Linked DNA regions of Macaca fascicularis. The protein of the gene in region 2 purifies or fractionates together with the protein of the main gene of each other region. This does not show direct contact. Links are inferred from orthologs where the notes say so. Each region holds a gene or a part of one and is shown on either strand. Other genes may lie near its edges. The genes, in order: SCYL1 and SEC31A.

Region 1 (4,298 bases), on a different chromosome or scaffold from region 2:
CGCGGCCAGGCGGCGCCGTGTGCGAGTGTCCCGGCGGCTTCCAGCTCGACGCCTCCCGTGCCCGCTGCGTGGGTGAGCAGGGCTTTGGGGTGGGGCAGGGGAGGGGCCTGTGGTGAGGAGCCGCCTGGAGGCTCAGCGAAGCCGCACCTGTCGCCCCACCTGCAGACATCGATGAGTGCCGAGAGCTGAACCAGCGTGGGCTGCTGTGCAAGAGCGAGCGCTGCGTGAACACCAGCGGCTCCTTCCGCTGCGTCTGCAAAGCCGGCTTCGCGCGCAGCCGCCCGCACGGGGCCTGCGTTCCCCAGCGCCGACGCTGACACCGCCCTCGGCCCAGACCTCGGTGATCACTGAGGGGTTTCTGCGAGCTCGGCCTCACTTCTGCCCCGACTTGGGGCTCGGACCCAGGGACGTTGGGGCCCGCAGACCCTCCCTGCGCCTTGAGACCCGCGGCGCCCCTACCGGCCCCACCCGGTTGGCGGGCGGTTGTAAGGTCCCCGGCGGGCGCTGTCTGCCTTCCTCCCAGAGGGTGTTTCCTAGAAACTGATAAATCAGATCGTGCCTCTTTATCCTTGTCTTTCGAAGCAAATTGATGTTCACGTCTGACGTGGGCGCGGGCTGCACAGCGCGGCACCAGACCCCAGCCACCTCCCACGGGCTAGACTGGGCCCGGCACAGGGGGGTGTGAAATAGAATTTATTGTGGCTCTGATTATGTACACGTGAGATGGCCTGGCCGGGCCGGCCGGGCTCACATGGTTTGTACAATAAATACATCTGTGGGGCGGGCTCTCCGCGGCCGGGAAGCGCCACCGCACGGTTCAGTCCAGCTTCCGGGCTCCCAGCTTCATGGGGCCCTTGGCCGCCTTCCTCTCGGCGCGTTTGGCTTCCATCTCCCGCCGCCGCTCCTCGCGCTTCTTCCGGGCCAGCTCAGCCTTGGCCTGTCCTGGGGTTAGGAAGGGAGCCCCGGTCTCAGCTCTCCAGCCAGTGCCTGCCTGGGGCCTGTAGGGACGGGCTGGTCGGGGAGCCCTAGTCTTCAGCCCGCCCAGGGGAAGCACTTACGACTTTCCGTCTCCAGGCCCTCCCAGTTGTCCTCAACCCACGAGTCCGGCCTAGGCTGTAAAGAAAAGTGTGGGCTGCAGTGGGGCCCACTTCGGGCTGAGGCCCACCATCTCTACCCTCTCGCCAGACCCATGCTGGGTACCTGGGTGCTGGGACGTGCAGACAGGGTAGCGAAGGGGTCACCCTTGTCGCTGGACTCTGGGCCACCCCAGTTATACTCGCTGGCCAGCCGCGTACCCTCGAGAGGTGGCTCCTGGGAGCTTGGCTCCTGCCAGCCCTGTTCCCAGGAGCCCTCAGCTTCCCAGCTGCTCCAGTCGGACTCTGGGGATTTGGAGGGTTTGTGGTCGGAGTTGCTAACCTGTAGAAGAGCGGGAAGGGGAAGTAGCCCTGGGCCCAGGGAGGAAAGGGCCCCATACACACACACCCGCCTGACCCAGCTCACCTGACTAGCATGGCTCACTTGGCCCCCAGTGCTCCAGTCATCCTGCTGGGCCAGCACGGACTCAGCCTCCTGCTGCAGTGTGGGAAGGGACCACTGACTCCCACCGCATGCTAAAGGGCAAGTGAGCCGGCCCCAGCACTGTCCGAGCCACGGGCCCCACCACTGTCTTTTGCCTTCCCCCTCATTTGCTCCTCAGGCTCTGTTTCCCATATATTAAATGGACGCTGACCCTGGCCTGCCTTCAACCCCCTTTTGAGCCCGGGGAATGAGATCTAGATGCCCCTTCCAACAGCCTTGGGGGCCAGAAAATGCTGCTCTCAGTCAGATGGGGAAATTGGGCCCCCAGCTCTGCCCCATTCTGAGGGCAGCCCCAGTCCTCCCTCAGCCCATCCTGAACCCATGCCCCAAGCAGAACTGGTCTGGTTCTAGACCTAGGAGTTGCCTCTCCTTGCTGACCCCAGGGCTTGGTGGGCACTGGAGGAGGGGGAAGAGGGATGGTGTGGGTGAGAGTGAGGAAGTCCATGGAATGCCCCAGGCACCATCTGCCCAGCCTGCTCCCTGGGGCCACGGGTCGAGTGGGGCCTGCTGTTGGCTCTGGTCTACAATGGCCACTCCATGAAGCCTATGCGCCAGGGATGCTATGCAGATGAGGACAGGCCAACTCCAGCCAGGCCCCACAGAAGCTCCCTGAATGGCAGCCTGTGAATTTGAGCTGGGGTCCCCTGGGGAGGCTCCCTCAGCCCCACACACCTCCAGGCTGCCCCAGTCTTCGTCGTCCCATCTGTCAGCAGCGCTGCTGTCCTCTGCTGTGTCCTTGTCCTCTTCCTGCGTCTCCCAGTGGCCTGAGGTTGTAGGGGTGGCAGGAACAGGGGTGGGAGCCGGGGCAGGAACTCCTGGGGAGCAGAGGCTCACTGAGCTTTCAGGGGAGTCTTGGGACAGGGCAGAGGCTGCTAGGGGAAGGGGGCTACTGGGGAGAAGGGGTGCCAAGGAAGCCCACAGGGTGACTAGAGCCTACCCCAGCCCCTATATTCCCCTCACCATCCCCGGGGGAGTCAGACAGTAACAGTTCCTGGGTGCCTGCAGCTCCCAGCCCTCTCAGTCACTGATGCAGCCAGGCCAGGACGCTCACCTTCAGGTGTGGGTCTTTGGGGAATGTTGGTCTCTGCGGGGGCAGTGGTGGGGTGCACACGGATCAGCTTGGAGGTGAGTGAGGAGACCCCGGTCACGGCCCAGCCTGCCCAGCTGGCTGCGGCTCCTCCCATGCCAGGGCTGGAGGCTGCATGGACATCCTTCTCTGGGCAGTGGCATGAGAGAGAGGTGGGTATGGGCACGTCAGGTACCCATGGGTGACAGGACAGCAGGAATTGACAGTGCCCTGTAGCCGCCACTCCCTTCTCCAGGCCTGATTTCTCCCATCTGTGAAGGGGGAGCTGAGTCAAGTCTGCTCACAAGGGCCTTTCAGAAACTCCAGTGGGGGTGGGACACAAACAGGTCACTGTCAAGTACATAGCAGGGAAAGAAGGAACACGAGTGTAGGCCACTCACCCACTTCCTCCAGCTGGGTCGGGTCCTCCGACACAGACTCCAGTTTGGACAGGAAGCTCCGAATGGCCTTGAAGGCCTGTGGGGTAACAAGGGGCAGAGCTGGGGCCTCTGGGGTTCCCAAGAACCTACCAGGCCAGCTAGGGCCTGACATCCCCTACAGCCCCAGCCCAAGGCCAGGCCCAGCTGTGCCTCACCTGGTCCCGCACAGATTTCTCAGGATCTACAGTGAGACCGCAGAGCACAGGCAGGATCTTGTGGGCACAGTCATTCATTGAGTAGAGATTGTGGGTGGCAGCAAAGCCCAGGACACCCGCAACCCGGGACGGTGCAAACGGGTCCTTAGTGGCTCGGCTGAAGGCGGAAGTAAGGACCCTGTGTCTGGTCTATGATGGGGCAGGAAAGAGGGCTCCTGAGTAGAGGGTCAGTGTTGGGGCCCAGAACCACCAGCCCTTACTTCCCAGAACGGGGCCATACGTAGGCCCCCAGAATCTGAAAAATGTAAATGAATCACTTAAATGGGGAGAGTTTACCTAAAACTCTGGACCTGGGCTTCTCTTCCCAAATCACTGGGCTCCACACTGCCTCAGGGCATGGGACCACAACAGCAGCTATCCCCAGGGCTCGGACACAGGCTCCCTTCCTCCCTGCCCAGCTGATTGTTCATTCCTGTTAACTGTCTGGGCACAGCAAGCATCTGAACTTACAAACCCTGGCTGAGAGGATGCACACAGGCCGGGAGGCCAAGCAGGCCTGGATTCTGATCCCAGATCCACCCTCCTGGCTGTGTGACCTTGGCCAATTCACTCCACCTCTGGGAACCCAGATATGGGACCAACAGCGTTCAGGGCCTGGGTCTCTGGGAGAATGAAGGCCCACACACACAGGACTCCTGGCCCTGGAGGAGGCCGTGGTCCTGCGACAGGGACCAGGCTCCAGCAGTTGTGCAGGACACTCACGCTGGCACTGAGGTATGAGCCGATTTTGCCCAGGCAGACCGTGGTGTTGCAGCGGATGGGACCCTGTTCATCCTTGGCCTGTAGCCGTGCAAAGTGCTTCATCAGCTCCACATTGAGGTTGGCCTCGTTCAGCTTCGGGGCCAGAAGCAGCATGGACTGTGGGGCAGAAATGAGCAGGGGAACTGTGGGCTTTGGTGGGCAAAGAGTCTTGTGCAGGAACAGCCTCCTGGCAGCCCTCATCCCAGAGCACACCCATCAAAGCCTGCAAGGCCACCTCCCAGCCTGGGCCTGGCCCTG
Region 2 (3,809 bases):
TAACTTTTTTTTTAAAGATTGATCATGTATGTATATTATTTTTCAATTACATGGCCACATAAAAGAAGGTTATACATTTAAGAGTGTTTACTATAACTTGGCTAGGTCAGTAGCCATAATTTAAAATCAGATGAATCATCTCTGCATCTGAGGTTGCTAAGTAAAAGCTGTTTCCAAAGATTTTTCTCTTTAAAATAGAAAATAAAAATGTAGTGAGTTATATATTTTTATGTGTATGTATAAAAGCTAATAATACAGCCTTATCTTCAGATAGAGAAAAACATTTTTTACTTGCTTTTCACAACACAAACAGCCAGTTGGCAAAGTCCTGAATGTTGAAAAATTGAACACATTTCTACATAACACACTTAGACATAGTTAAGTATTTTGATCTATTCATGAGAAATAAAGAGCTTAGATCAAAGTTCAATATAAGAAGATGAAACAAACTCCTGCCCAAGTAAAAAAACTAGTTCTACTGTCTGATTCTGTCTTTGATTCATTGAAGTCAAATTTGTAAAGATTGTATCTCTTGTCACAAGAGTATACTTTACTGTTAAGAGATAATATGCCTGAAGCTGGGCACAGTGGCTCACACCTGTTATCCCAGCACTTTGGGAGGCCGAGGCGGGTGGATCATCTGAGGTCAGGAGTTCAAGACCAGCCTGGCCAGCATGGTGAAACCCTGTCTCTACTAAAAATACAAAAATTAGCTGGGCGTGGTGGCATGCGCCTGTAGTCCCAGCTACTCAGAAGGCTGAGGCAGGAGAATTGCTTGAACCCAGCAGGCAGAGGTTGCAGTGAGCTGAGATCGCACCACTGCACTCCAGCCTGGACAACAGAGCGAGACTCCATCTCAAAAAAAAAAAAAAGAAAGAGATAATATGCCTAAGGAATTTTTAAATGTTAAGAGTTGCATTTTAAAAACATTTTGACAAAGATGAGAAGAAATGGTTCTTTCTGGAAAAATAAAAATTACAGTTTTATTTAAATATAAAAATAAAAAAGATTACAAGCCTGTGTTATTTTGGGAAGCTACTTAGCCCTTATATTTGTTTAGACCTGGGTTCTCATGCTGTACTCGCCTAGACCTGAAGCTTAGTTACCATCAAAAGAGAAAGATACATAGTGTTCAGCCAGGCTATATACCCAGCTGCTTGCCTACTTGGATGTCTTGGAGGCACTTCAACCTCAGCATGTCCAAAACCTAACTCATACTCTTCTTCCCAAACTTAGTCATCTTTCCTTGTTTCCTGTTATCAGTGAGTGGCACCATAATCTTTTCTGTGGAATCCAGGCAAAAACCTGGGGATCATCTTTATACACTTTTCCCTTTAACCTCTATTTTAAATCTGTCTCCCGAAATCTTGTCGATATCACTCCAAAATATTTTTTGAATCCTTTCTTCTCCACGTTTTTACTCTAGTCCATGCTACCTTCATCTCTAATCTTCATCAGTGCAGGAACCTCCTAATTGGTCTGCTGATATCTACTTTGATCCATCTCTAATTTGGCCTTTTTTCGTCTTTGCCTAAAACATTACAGCTTCCCATCGTTCTCAGGATAAGGACCGAAATATTCAACATTGTCTGGAAGGCCTCAGCTCATACTCCTTGTTCTCTCTGCTCCAGCTATACTGACCTTTTAGCTCCCTTTTACCGTGATCCTTCCTTTGTACATGTTATTCCTTTCATCTGGAATGCTCTTTTTTCCTCACTTAACTGTTCAACTCCATTTTGTCCTTCCAGTAAAATTTCCTGAAGAGAGCCTTCCCTTCCCTCAGTCAAATCTCAGTTATAGCATCTTTTGTTTCCACCAAGTGTTAACGTACTACAGTTGCCATTTTACATACATTGATGATGTTTTTAAACTGTGCCTCTTCCATTAGCCTGTAAACTCCCTGAGAACTGAGATCATTTCTGTATTGGCTCACCAGTAGTACATAGCCAGTGCCTGGCACATAGTTGCCTAATATTTTTTGAATGAGTGAAAGAATGAACTAATAAAACTTAACCATTTCTTCTTTGTTCTTTCATCTGTACACTCAGCAGCATCGGGATGTCTTCTCTCTTAATCTTTGGCTTCATCTTACAGTTTTGATCACAGCCCAATTAACAACCTCTAAGAGTAAAAGAATAGAAGAATGCCAGCACACACGAGAATGAGCCAACAAGCAGAGCAAGCAGCCATTCTAACCAGCCAAGTGTGTTTTCCAGTGCCTTGTTTTTATTCTCTGCTGGCACATACTTATTTCCCATCAGTTATAAACAATATTGACCAACATATGTTACCTAATTAATCAACTACTTTGTATCCAGTCCTGTATATGAAAATCCAAACTGTAGGAAGAATGCCTACACTTTGTACTAGATATCTGGTTTTTATTTTTACTTATCCTAAGTGATTTCCCACATTAAATTTTAATTTGATTTTGAATAGGTCTATCTATAAGGTTGTCAGTTTCTGTTTATCATATAGATTCAAGATTGTGTATATAAGGTAGCTTCTGGTCGTTTCTGATCAGTTTTTGTTGTGTTTCTTCCAGCATGTGCAGTCTTTGCCAACAAAAAAAATTACCAAGAAACCTATTCCAGATGAACACCTCATTCTAAAGACCACATTTGAGGATCTTATTCAGCGCTGCCTTTCTTCAGCAACAGACCCTGTATGTATTTTTTTTTTAATCATATTTTGCTTAATTAGAAGAATCCTTGGCCAGGCGTGGTGACTCACTCCTGTAATCCCAGCACTTTGGGAGGCCAAGGTAGGTGGATCATTTGAAGCCAGGAGTTCAAGACCATCCTGGCCAACATAGGGAAACCCCATCTCTACTAAAAGTACAAAAAATTAGCTGGGTGTGGTGGAATGCACCTGTAGTCCCAGCTACTCAAGAGGCTAAAGCAGGAGAATCACTTGAACCCAGAAGGCAGAGGTTGCAGTGAGCCGAGATCGTGCCACTGCATTCCAGCCTGGGTGACAGCGAGAGACTCCATCTCAAAATAAATAAATAAAATAAAAGAATCCTTTATGGAGTTCTTCTATAATTATTGCTTGAAGTCCTACAAGGTATATTTCTAAAAAGTTTGCACAAAAGTAATAAAGCTAGCACTTACATAGTTTGCATTACATATAGAAATATATTTAATTGCTTTTTATATATAAATGTACTTAATCTTCACAATAACTTGTGGCAGATAGATTTGTCATTTTTATTTACAGACCAGAGAATTAAGGCAAAGAGCAGGTAAGTAACACTTAAGGTCAGAGCCAGCATTCAAACCCAGACATTCTGGCTCTAGAATTCATGCTCTCAACCACCAAGCTTTACTGCCTCTCATCAACAAAATGGTATTTGGCACATAAACAGAACATAATGGTGCTATGCAAGAAACTCAGATTTGGGATTTCTTTTTGAGCTTATATTGAAATTGTTAAAAGTAGATAGATCATCTTATAAAGCTTTGCAGAGATGTTAAAGATAGTTAAATGTTTTAGATATCGGAGGCATATTTACATTTAAAGCAACTGATTTTACTTAGTTTGCTTAGGATACCCCTGTATTGCAACAACATTCCACAAAGCCAGTCTTAAGTGAAATTTCATTTTCTGGTAGCACACATTGAATATTTTCAATCATTGGCTACTTGTCTGCATGAAAAAACAACTTCTGGGTTTTATTGTTCATCAGACATTGAGTATGAATATGTGCAGCCTTTGCTGGTCAGTGGCTTTGTGGAAAGCCATTCTCTGTACTGAAAGTATCAGGAAAGCTTCGTGTCTGACATTCTGGGAGTGATGGGAAGACCAAG

Evidence for each region.
Region 1: the proteins of SEC31A (region 2) and SCYL1 purify together in Homo sapiens (affinity purification with mass spectrometry; 3 studies listed by BioGRID and IntAct, counting the BioPlex papers as one, with this or other methods). This does not show direct contact. The link is inferred for Macaca fascicularis from reciprocal best matches to the Homo sapiens genes SEC31A and SCYL1.

The regions. Positions count from the first base shown.
Region 1 is NC_088388.1:8,833,370-8,837,667, forward strand, and holds the end of SCYL1 (N-terminal kinase-like protein), read right to left. Parts: intron 4,158-4,298; coding exon 4,002-4,157; exon of another isoform or gene 3,576-4,001; intron 3,429-3,575; coding exon 3,240-3,428; intron 3,122-3,239; coding exon 3,046-3,121; intron 2,795-3,045; coding exon 2,630-2,794; intron 2,394-2,629; coding exon 2,251-2,393; intron 1,573-2,250; coding exon 1,501-1,572; intron 1,417-1,500; coding exon 1,201-1,416; intron 1,114-1,200; coding exon 1,059-1,113; intron 943-1,058; coding exon 818-942; 3' UTR 679-817; downstream 1-678. Other genes in the region: LTBP3 (latent-transforming growth factor beta-binding protein 3), read left to right, coding at 1-72, 166-317. UniProt on the Homo sapiens protein: Regulates COPI-mediated retrograde protein traffic at the interface between the Golgi apparatus and the endoplasmic reticulum. Involved in the maintenance of the Golgi apparatus morphology.
Region 2 is NC_088379.1:51,024,988-51,028,796, forward strand, and holds part of SEC31A (protein transport protein Sec31A), read left to right. Parts: intron 1-2,545; coding exon 2,546-2,665; intron 2,666-3,809. UniProt on the Homo sapiens protein: Component of the coat protein complex II (COPII) which promotes the formation of transport vesicles from the endoplasmic reticulum (ER).